Linked DNA regions of Caenorhabditis elegans. The protein of the gene in region 1 interacts with the protein of each later gene in a pairwise test. Each region holds a gene or a part of one and is shown on either strand. Other genes may lie near its edges. The genes, in order: rnp-7 and rev-1.

Region 1 (4,822 bases):
ATTCTCTCAAGGACTTTTTGAACTTCTCCTTTCTTCACTACTACTTTTGGAATAGTATTCGCAGACTTCTCGGGATTGTAATACAAAAGAGTTTCCCTATCGTCCGCCATTGAAAAACATTTACAACGAGCTCTCCAATGACTCGGCGCACTACGATCAAGACGAGAGGAGACACTTGCAGGAACTTGGTCCGTTCTGGAATAATGCTTTAAATTTATATTACTCAGGAAAAATTTTTTTTACGTTTTGAACATAACAATATCTTGATATTGGTCAATTGGCATTCCACCATATTCGCTTCCATCATGGGCTTCATAGTGAATACTGTCATCTTCATCATTTGCAACCATTTCCTTAAATTTGAATAAAGAAAATTAATGATTCAAGCACACTCACTCTCATATCATTCATATCGTCATCCACTGCAATTTCCTCATATCCTTCGACTACCATGTTGTCGTCAACTATCTCAGTACTGTTCATTAACATCATCAGCTGAAATTTAAATTAAAATTTTAAGAAAAAACTCAAAGTGCCCAAAACAACAAGAACGAACAATTGGAATAATGTTGAGTACTTTTAAATGGTCTATTATAAATATTTTTGAATTAAAATATATTTTTAATATGTTTAAATTACCGCCAGAGTGAGCAGAAAAGGCCCGAAACGTCACATATTGACGCGTTCGGTGTGACGAGCGCAAGACTAGACGACCGCGACGCGACCGCTACGCAGCGGAGAGAAAAGAAAATTGTGCAAGTGCGCTGTGTTGAACTACTCGCCCAGATTAATTTTCGCAATTTTGACTCGATTCTCAGCATTTTCAACTAGAAAATAAAGTTTTTATTTCCATTTTTGAACTCCTTATCGATAGTACCATGCTTATTTCTAAGAAAGCCTTCTTTGTTTCGCAAAGCTGGATAGTATTAATATGTTTTGAACATGTAACTATCGGTTTAAAAAATATAGATTGTAAATGAATTCAAATCATATCGGTTCTTCTTTTTCTGATGTTCAAAATATTCTGTATTCCGTTTCAATGTAGCTTTTCTTCTCAACTTTCTGGATTTCTCTTCAACACTTTTTCCTAGATGTCTTCCGAATCACAATCGAGCAGCAGTGGGCCGTCGTCCAGTGGATCAAAAATGAAGGATTTCAATCAGAGGTTCCGTGATCTTCACAAACTCCGCCAAAGAGCGAGAAAAGAGAATCACGAACAGGTTAGTGTTTTAACGTTTACATTTTCAATTATAATTTAAAATTGTAGGTCGTTGAAGAAGATCGTCGCAGCAAACTTCCAAAAAACCACGAAGCAAAAAAGGAAAGAGATCAATGGCAGGTTAAAGAGCTACAAGATCGAAAAGCTGCAGAAGACAAGGGATTGGACTATGAACGTGTTCGCAGTTTAGAGATGTCTGCAGATGTTACTGAGAAGCTTGAGCAAAAAAGAAAGAGAAAGAAGAACCCAGATCAAGGATTTACTTCTTACGAAGATATGACTCTTCGTCAACATACTCGCCTGACTGCTGCTCTTGATCCAGATCTTGATTCTTACAAAAAGATGAGAGAATGCGTTGGAGGGGAACAGTTTTACCCAACTGCTGACACACTTATTCATGGTAAGGAGCAAAACTCATAATTTCAAAGAAAAACCAAAGAGTTTTCAGGAAATCACTATCCGACAACTGCTGCAATGGATAAGCTCACTAAAGATGTTCACGGCCAAGTTAAAAGACGAGAACAATATCATCGTCGTAGACTTTATGATCCTGACGCGCCAATTGATTACATCAATGAGAAAAACAAGAAATTCAATAAGAAACTGGACAAGTACTATGGAAAGTACACAGAAGATATCAAAGACGATTTGGAACGTGGAACAGCTATCTGAAACCGAGGATCGCTTTTTTATTTTCTTTTTCAGACATTTTTTCAACTTTTTTTCTTCTTTTGTTTTGTTCTTCATCTTCCCATTCCATACTATTTTCTCTCTTCTATTCGATAATCTTTGTACCTACAAAACTCAAATAATAAATAAAAATTATTTTCAGGTGACATGACGGCATTTCTACCTCCCAATCTTCTGGCGCTTTTCGAAGCACGACCACCAGTGCAATATCTTCCACCATGCCAGGACCTACTAGTGGACAAAAATGCTAAAAGGGCTCCGATGACTGGAGTTGCTCAATATATTCAATTATTTGAGGTTTGAACGTAACTTTATTATTTTGGAAGCTATTTTTTTTTCAGGATCCGAAAGATACTCCAGCAAAAATCCCAGTAGTAACAAAAGCTGAAGCAAAAGAAGAAAAAAGACGACAAAAAGATGAATTGTTAGCATATAAAGTAGAACAAGGAATCGCCACGTGGAATCCAGCTGAGAATCCAAGAGCTTCGGAGGATCCATATCGCACTCTATTCGTTGGACGAATTGCACGTTTTTTTAAATGTTAGAATGTGTTTTAGTTTATATTTTCAGAACTATGAAACGTCTGAAAGCAAGTTGAGACGAGAATTCGAAGCGTATGGTAAAATTAAAAAGGTAAGTGTCTCGTTTCTTCCAAGTTAAGCTTTCATTGTTTTTTCCAGTTAACAATGGTCCACGACGAGGCAGGAAAACCACGTGGTTACGCGTTTATCGAATACAGTGACAAGGCTGAGATGCATAGTGGGTTGCAGTTTGTTTGTCATAAAACAAAAAATCATTGGCTGAACCTTTTGCTCAAAAAAACAACAGAAATTTTATTTTAAAAACCAATTTTCAAGGAACACGCTCCTATTTTTGTAATTTTTACAGCCACGCGGCCATTGTGAAATCCTGGGAAATGAATGGGAATGGCAGAGCGCGCAACTCTCCTATCGATTAATTTCTGATAGGTTTGTTTGTTGGTGAGCTCAAATAAAAAACAAGAAATTAAAAAAAAAAGGAATTAGCATTTTAAGAAACGAGTCTTTCCAAGAAAAAAAACATTATTTAAAATTGCACGCTTGCTAAAAAGGTTTTAGGCATATTATCGCATTTAAAAACTTTATTAATTTGTTAAGCTGAAAATTTCTGATATAAACTCTTTTTTTAGTACTAGGTCTTTGAATTTCATTTAGGCTACTAGATTAGGAAAAAATCCAAGAATTCAGATTTATTTTTTTATTTTTTGAATGGGTAAGGTACACGCTTTGTAAGTTTTCCTCACAAACATCAAAAAAATCATCTTGGGATTATTTTTGTAAGTTTCTTGCCGCTTTTTGTAAGTTTTCCCGTAAGTTTTGTCTGTAAGTTTGAAGTCTAACACATTTTCTGAATCGCGGGTAAGTGGTTGGGTAAGTAGTCAATTCCGCGAATGACATGGAGGCCTGTGAGCGCTTTTTTGGTAGGTTAGGTAAGATATTTATTGAGTAGACACACAAATCCGTATTCTCTCACCTTATTCCTTATTGAACATAATATTCGAGTATTATTTTCAGCCGCTTACAAAAAAGCTGACGGAATCAAAGTTGATGGTAAACGTCTAGTTGTCGACTATGAAAGAGGTCGTACTCAGAAGACATGGTTGCCTAGAAGACTTGGCGGTGGAAAAGGAGATACTCGTAAAACTCGCGAAGCTAAATCAGTCATTGAAGAACGTGAAATTGCGTCTGGATTTGGAGGTGGGTACGAGGATCGAGATAGAGAAAGAAGTGGTAGTCGGGATAGACGTCAAGATTCTTACCGTAATGGTGGAGGAAATGATCGTGATCGACGAGAATCATCGGGCGGATTTAGAGATAATCGCGGTGGAGGTGGCGGATTCGGTGGAGGGTTAGTTTTTATAAGATTTCGACATCTTATTTGTATTTTTCTTCACTTGTTTTAATTAATATTTTCAGAGGCCGTGATCGTTTCAATGATCGAAGTGGTGGTGGTGGATACGGAGGTGATCGTGATAGAGGAGGTGATAGAGGAGGTGACCGTGGAGGAAGCCGATACAGTACAGGTGGAGGATCCGGTGGTGGATATCGAAGCGGTGGTGGAAGTAGCGGAGGTGGTGGTGGAGGTCGATATGGTGATCGCCGTTGATTCTGAAACCAAAGGCCTTGTGGATTTTCCTCGCTTTTATGTTTGTTTTGTATCCTTCGATCTGAAATTTACCGATTTTTCCTTCTGCTTTCTATCTCGTCCTCTCAAATCATTTTGTATTCCTAAACACTTTTTCAAACCTGAACGGTATCTTCTAATTTATATTTTTAAGTTATTGACTTTTTTCTGCTCAGAAGTTCAACTATTCGAGGGCAGATTCTAATAAAGCTTCAATTGCAATATTTTCTGTAGAATAATTTATTTCTAATGGTTTTCAAACCTATTCTAATATTTTATTTTGTTCATTTTCCAATTTAATCTTATTATCTTGTTCCTTGTTAAGACCATCATGCCGGGTTCCATGAGCAAATTGGGAGGGCTGGCAACCGGTTTGCTGGCCTGCTCCAGATCAGGAGCACTCTCAAATCAAGTCAGAGGAGTTGTTCATAAAAGTCTTCTAAGACTTCCATCTGAACATCCAGAACCATGGGACTATAAGCACAATGGATTCAATTATATTGATGGATTAAAAGACGACACTCGTTCTCATTTCCATCAAAATTCCAAGCTTATCGTTGTTGAAGGAAATATTGGATCCGGAAAGACAACTTTAGCCAAACAACTTGCTGATCAACTCGGCTTCGTTCATTTCCCAGAATTTAGAATGGACGATATTCTCGTCGATCGCTACGGAAATGATCTTCGCAATTATTATAATAAAGTAAATAATAATTCAACCTAACTCTTAAATGTAATATTATTCCAGTT
Region 2 (6,720 bases), on another chromosome or scaffold:
CTGTTTATGTTGAAAGTTTGGATGATGAAATTCGTGTAAGTCTGAAAATCTAAAATTTTGGAACAATCTAAAAATATGATCTACCAAAACCATGGAGTTTTAAATTTGTAGTTTTCAATCTATAGCATAACTTTATTACAGTTACTTCATACAAGTGCATCGTCAAAACTATCAAATCATCCACAACGACAGCATCTTCGGAAATTAAAATTCAATGTAGACGCAATGCAAGTGCAAGCAGTTCCGGGAAGTGGGAATTTCATAAAAAAATATGAAAGTTACTATTTTTTAAATTTCAGATCATCTAAACGAACGAGACGTTTCCGTTTCAACAACTTCAAAACTTTCATTCGCTGATCTGGAAAATTTGGCAAATGGTCCTAGAAATATTCCAAAGTTTTGAGAATGGATTTCAAACTGATTACAAGCTCTTTCCTGTATTGATCTCGACGTCTTCTTACTGGTTTAATATTCACGTCTTCACTCATTCATTCCTTCTCTTTTTGAATTATAAAAGTTTATTCAATGGTCTTAAATATGTTATTTATTCATTTTAATTTAATTATTTTACAGAAAAAGAAAAACAATATTTTACAAGATTTAAATTCAGGTATGTTTAGTGGAATCAATTACAAATACTTCTTTTGGAACAAATGGCTCTGGTGAACTAATTGATGTGTTATCAGTGTTGCTGGCAATCATAGCTCCCAAATTTCGAGTGGTAGCTATGGGAAATTCAAGCAGATCTTTTGATTCTTCTTCGATGAATGGTACCATCAAATGGAATACTGAAAACCAAGCAGTGTCGCATCTACTAGAATCCATCGAAATCTCTTCAAACTTTCTGAATACAGTCTCGAATGCGGAAAGTTTTCCATAGTTTAGCAACGTTGAAAGCATTTCCTGTAAGTTCGTAACACTCTCCTTGGTTGGCTCTGAAAAAATTGATAAAGTTATTCCATGAAACATCAGATTTTGGGTATCTCACCATTTTGAATAATACATTCCAATTCGGCCAGACGATTTTCAACTAATCCATCATCTTCCAAATCTTCCAATTCGAGGTTGTTGTCAGATCGTCCATTGAGAAGTGTGGATTTTACAATTTCAGGAATATCTATGTCATTTGCCACTCTAAAATTAATTTGACGAGGTATGCTTTGCACTTCCAGATCTTCAGTCACAGCTGGAATTATCACAGGTTCTTTATCTAGTTCATCTTCGTTTCGCGGAATAATATCTGAAAATACAGAATGTTTTCAATAAAATTTCACTACTTAAATACTAACTCAATTGTTCGTCAGTTCTCGCCATATTCCCAACTCTAGAGGTCTTCCCAAACATCTCTTGCACTGCCGTTGCCGCATCTTTTTTCAATTTACTTTTCAACTTTCCACAGGTAACTCCAACTCCACGAAGATCTTCTACTTTCGGAGAAACTTTAGCATATAATTTCATAGCTTCTGATGTGAGAGACTCTCCGCGTGTAGTTGGAACGTTTAGATTACACGTTTTGGTAAATGTATCACAAATTCCATGTCCCATGAATTTGGATGTTTGTATAGGAGCATTTGCTGAACGTACCATAAGCTTCAAAGTTATGGATCCTGCGGTTAATTTACTATCGATAAGTTTCCGTTCTAACTCAGCTCCAATAGCTGTCATGAGTTGAATAACTTCACCTCTCTGAAATATTCCATCGTTATACGGACATTTTAATATAATACATTACCTTCGTGAAACGAATACCATAATTGATATCACATGATACTGATTTTCGAACATGAGTAGCCCAAAAATCATCTGGATCTTCTTCAATACCACGACATTGTCGTAATATTTTTGAAGCCAACTTTGGTCCGAATACAGGTACAAGTTCCCGTTCAGTTTTTAATTGTAGTTCACGGCATTTTGTAATATCACCTGTAAAACTGAGAAGTTGATATTTTTATATTAGATACTGGAATTACCAAAGAATGAAGTTAATCTATTCATCATTTCGTATCCAAATCCTGGTAGATCTTTAACTTTTTCCTCGGAAATGAATTCATTTTTCTTATGTGCATTAACCCAAAAAACTCCATCTGGTTTAGCATGTCTTGTTGCAAGTCTTGCTAACAAGCTCGTAGATCCTATTCCAACACTGGCTGGGCATTGAGTCTTCTCTCGTATCACTTTACGGATGTGTTCAGCGAGAATTGTTGGGTCGTTGATTTCGTATTTTTCACAAAAACTGCTCATGTTTATATACATTTCATCGCAGGAGACTGCACGAACCTCCAATGTGTAGCTAGCCAGAATTTCATAAATTTTCCGACTAACTTGCACATAATCCTCAAATTGATATGGTAATAGAGTTAATTGTGGACACTTTTGTAGAGCATCTCTCACGAGCATACCATTTTTGACTCCACAATCACGAGCTGCATAACTGCAAGAAGCCACCTCGCTCATGCTATTCGAAATAGTTCCCTGAAAGATTTATAGTTTGACACGAAGCTTTTAAATTGATTTACCTTGCTATGAGTGATGGCAACTTCTTTGTGTTTCAAATCAATTCGATTTCTGACAGCAACTGAGACGAAGAAACAGTCTAGATCCACGTGGAATACTGTACTTTCCCGAGAAATTTCATTGCTAAGAGACTTCATATCGATGAGTTCTTTCTCTTCAAAACACTTTTCCGTTAGCTTTCCTTCCAGTTTCAAATTTGCCACAAAATCTTTCATATCCTGCGCGAGAGTAGAAATCAAATGAAGACGACTTCTGGCATAGTAATCTCGAATAAAGTTTGGATTCCGGGCATCAGAGAACTGATTCGATGAAGTTGTTTCATTGTTACCACCGGTGTTTCTAGTTGATATTGTTAGAAACTGTTGCATTTGTCCCTTTTCCACCGAACCTTTCTCGTATATCAAAAAATCTCGATAATCGAGTGGTTTTCCAGCAGCTATTCTGAAATACTGGTTTAATCGGAAGAATCGGGTTGATTATATTTACGATTCCGTAATCCAATCAGCTTTAATGAAAATTTCATTTTCTCGAATTCGATTTATTTTTGCTGTAGCAATTGAGGAAGCTATCGTGTATGAAGTAATTCCATGTTGATAATAACAGTGATATTCACCTCCGTGAGAAATCATCAAATCTCTGATAACAAGTGCTGGTGGATCTGAAATAAGTAACTGTAAAATCAGTCGTTAAGTTATGGAATATGAAATTACCTGTATAACCATTCACAAATACCGAGAATCCTTCCATTATTCTAGACACATTCTCTAGTGGTTTCGCATATCCATGATTCACCTGATGGTTAAGTTTAGTGATCTTCATCCGCATATAGTCATTCTGAAAAAAATGATTATTTCCTGTGGGTTATTATCAGTTAAGTGCTAAACTGTCCAAATGTCATAGTAAAACTTTTCAAAAAAGTTGTTTCTTTACAGTCAAGCGTGTTTTGAAAACTGAGAGGCCATACTGGAAGTCGGACAGAAAATTGTCTTTACGAGTTTATAATTTAATTTGGGTTTCGATAGTTTTTATTTAAATATTCTAGGATTTCGAATATACAGCGATGCTCGAAAAAAGTCCACATTTGGAATGAAACTTTTAATTTTACGTGAAAACGAAAAACTTTATTTATAGTAAATGATTTGGTGTTTTGGGCAAAAAACTCACAAAATTATTTATTTCGAAATTTTGTCCATGTATGGTGATGGTTTTCTGTTGATTCCAGTACTCGCCACTATCTGATGAAACAACACCAACTGGGCCATGTGCAGCGGATGTTGAAGGTTCACAATCATATGATTTTGGTTCTAGACGACGCTGTAATCTAGAATATTAACGATTGTTTTAATATTTCTACATACCTTTCTTGGTATAAGTTTGATATTATTTTGAATAGGAACTTCAACCGGTAGCATTGTTCCTTGCTTATCCATGCTATTTCCACCTTCTCTATCCGGATATTCAGCAGCTTCATGTTCTGAGTCAACTTCTTCAATTAAATCACCAAATATGTCTATACTGATATTTGCTGCCTGTTCAATGTCTACTTCTTTTCTTTTCTGATCTTCCGTTCTGAACGATTTTAAAAGATCAGCAAGTGCATCATTATCAGAATTATTTTCAGTTTCATCCTCTTCGTCACTGGATTCTAGCATTCGAGTTATTGTATCATCAGGATTTGCGCGTTTATTTTCATCTTCTAGTACAGTAGTATTCGGACAATTTTCGATCACTGTTACTTGGGAATATCCTGTTATTCCGTCGAATGAACCCTTAAAGAAAGCAGAAGTATTTTGAAAATAGCTATTTAATATTTTTGAAAACTAAATTTAACGATTTCATTGAAATTATTCGACATTCCATCGAACTTTTCGATATATTTGCAGCTAATACCTCATCTGAAACAATTATAGCATCACTTCGTCGTCGATTCACATTAGGAGTCGGAACAAACTTTTCAAAAGAATCATCTGAATCTGGATGATCGGTGAATGGGTCAGGAGAATGCATCATTCATTGTATTGATTTCTGGAATCAATATTTGTTTTCTGATTAATTGCGTCTTTAACCGTAATTCTGTCGACAAGTATAATTTCTCACAGTTCATACTAAAATTTTCTGAAAATAAGAATCGATAAAATGTATGTTTCATGTTAGAAAAAGTTTATTCATCCGAAAAAATTCGAAACAAAAAAATTGGAGATGAGGCGAAGGGACAATAGAAATCGAGAGGGGCAGAGAAAAATCTTGGCTGGTGCTAATAAAATAATTAAATTCCCAAAGCTCGCTGAGATCATTCACAGAGGGGAACAAAACAAACGGCGAAAAAGACCAAGTGGGTGCAATTGAAAGCAATACAAAAAGGTGAACAATACAGATATGTCAATTGTACTTTTTTCTCTAAATTGTACCGTTCCCCTTTTATCACTCGGAGTAAATATTATGCGCATGTTTTTTTCGATTGAGAAGTGGCAATAAATACCCAAAGAAAAAAGAAAACGAGGGTGCCAAAATATTCATCGATATGGATGCAAGAAAATAAAGAAAAATAATACTATAACAGATTAAAGCATTTGTCGTTTGGAAACCGCGCAAAATCTATTCTTTCAGTTTTGAATTTGTTAATTGGGTGCTAGAAATGGTGAAGTGTGTGAAAGTGTCAATTTTATAGTGATCATGTTAATTGCCTATATCTTGGAAATCTCAGTGAAAAAATCAACATAATAACTATAAAAGTGTTATACAGGGCATGGGAAGATCACCAGAAAGTGTGTAGTCGACCGTTAGAAAGAGAGAAAAGACAAAAATAATTTAAAAGAAAATATGACAACGAAACATTGGGAAAAAGGATAAGTTCACAATGCTCTGCATTCATCAGAAAGAAATTTACCCATTTTTACATTTTTGTAAGTTTTTAAGCTCCAAAAACTTGGAGCGAACTACTACTGCTATACAGCTGGCAATCGGCGTGTGTTATTTCCAACTGTTCCTCGATTTCCTCCTGATGTCCTCGTCGTTGGGGGTGCTTGTCTTGAGTACATCACAAGACCACTCGGCTCGTCATCTTCATCAGAATCATCGCCGCCAGATCGAGACGAGTTGGCATTCTTTGGCAAAGGAGGTGGCAGGGTCAATGTTGTCTTTCCACCAGTAGGAGAGATCTAAAAAAAATAAGATGTATACAAGAAAAATAACAAAATTTAGATTTTACCTCTCTCCTTGGGCCAAACCAAGATAATAAAACTGGAAGAAGAATGAGTCCGTTTATGATTCCAATGCAAATCAGAGCCGTCATGACAATAAAGAAATACTTGACAACAAATCTGAAAATAAAACATTCTGATGACATCCATACTTCTGTAAAACTCACTCAAACTCTGAGAATCCAAGCATCAAAATACCGAGAAGTGTGGAGAATGATCCATGAATGACTGGGACAAAAACTCGATCAACTGCAGATGACGTCCGTTGAGATCTTGTTCCGAGCGCCGTCAGGAATGATACAACCACATGAACAGTGAATTCGACTCCAATTCCAACTGCGGTGATCAAAGTTACGGCTGAAACCGGATTGAGCTTGATTCCAACGAGTCCCATGAATCCGGCAAGTTCGCAAGTCATGATTCCGAGAATACAAACAACCATAAGTGCAGCCCATGGATTGAAAAGAAGAACGGAAATGACGCAGAAGACAGAGATGGTAATGATCGAAATGGCTTGCATAAGATTTCCAGTCAAGAAAAGATATTGTTCCCAGAATGTGAATGCGATTCCTTGTGGGAAATTTGGAAGTCCTTGATCGGTAAATCGTTCACAAACACTTCTGATGTCCTTTATGGCATCGACAATCACAGCGGTATCCGTGAGGCCAGTTAAGTAGAATGGAATCTGCGAATATGCAAGTGGCTCAGCAGCTGGGATGAAGTTTTCGGTATGATTCTTGCTCAATTCCCATTTTGGTGGTGTTGGGAAGAAAGAAGCTTGAGATACATAGTACATCATGTGATCGACATTGAACCATGCTGTTAAATAGTTGTAGAATCCATCAGAGTTGATAATTCCACTTGCATCAACTAGTCGAATCTTTCCTACTCTTCCAGCACACCCAAATAGAGAACCATGAGAGCACATAAGAGCATGAGCAAGACGAGCATCCTCGGAAACATTGCTGCCAATAACTGTTCCAGATGTAAGATTGAATGATCCTTT

Evidence for each region.
Region 2: the proteins of rnp-7 (region 1) and rev-1 interact in a two-hybrid assay, tested with the Caenorhabditis elegans proteins (2 studies listed by BioGRID).

The regions. Positions count from the first base shown.
Region 1 is NC_003281.10:7,158,385-7,163,206, reverse strand, and holds rnp-7 (U1 small nuclear ribonucleoprotein 70 kDa), read left to right. Parts: upstream 1-2,051; 5' UTR 2,052-2,056; coding exon 2,057-2,206; intron 2,207-2,250; coding exon 2,251-2,433; intron 2,434-2,479; coding exon 2,480-2,542; intron 2,543-2,589; coding exon 2,590-2,668; intron 2,669-3,462; coding exon 3,463-3,796; intron 3,797-3,864; coding exon 3,865-4,054; 3' UTR 4,055-4,295; downstream 4,296-4,822. Other genes in the region: K04G7.1 (Integrase zinc-binding domain-containing protein), read right to left, coding at 1-195, 244-353, 397-453; Pre-mRNA-splicing factor syf-2, read left to right, coding at 1,092-1,220, 1,268-1,619, 1,668-1,891; nuo-4 (NADH dehydrogenase [ubiquinone] 1 alpha subcomplex subunit 10, mitochondrial), read left to right, coding at 4,404-4,775, 4,821-4,822.
Region 2 is NC_003280.10:7,898,448-7,905,167, reverse strand, and holds rev-1 (DNA repair protein REV1), read right to left. Parts: upstream 4,547-6,720; 5' UTR 4,522-4,546; coding exon 4,405-4,521; intron 4,284-4,404; coding exon 3,873-4,283; intron 3,829-3,872; coding exon 3,679-3,828; intron 3,349-3,678; coding exon 3,225-3,348; intron 3,173-3,224; coding exon 3,001-3,172; intron 2,956-3,000; coding exon 2,517-2,955; intron 2,473-2,516; coding exon 1,971-2,472; intron 1,924-1,970; coding exon 1,733-1,923; intron 1,687-1,732; coding exon 1,290-1,686; intron 1,241-1,289; coding exon 989-1,240; intron 936-988; coding exon 607-935; 3' UTR 501-606; downstream 1-500. Other genes in the region: best-23 (Bestrophin homolog), read left to right, coding at 1-35, 142-250, 300-403; ptc-1 (Protein patched homolog 1), read right to left, coding at 5,460-5,672, 5,723-5,834, 5,882-6,720.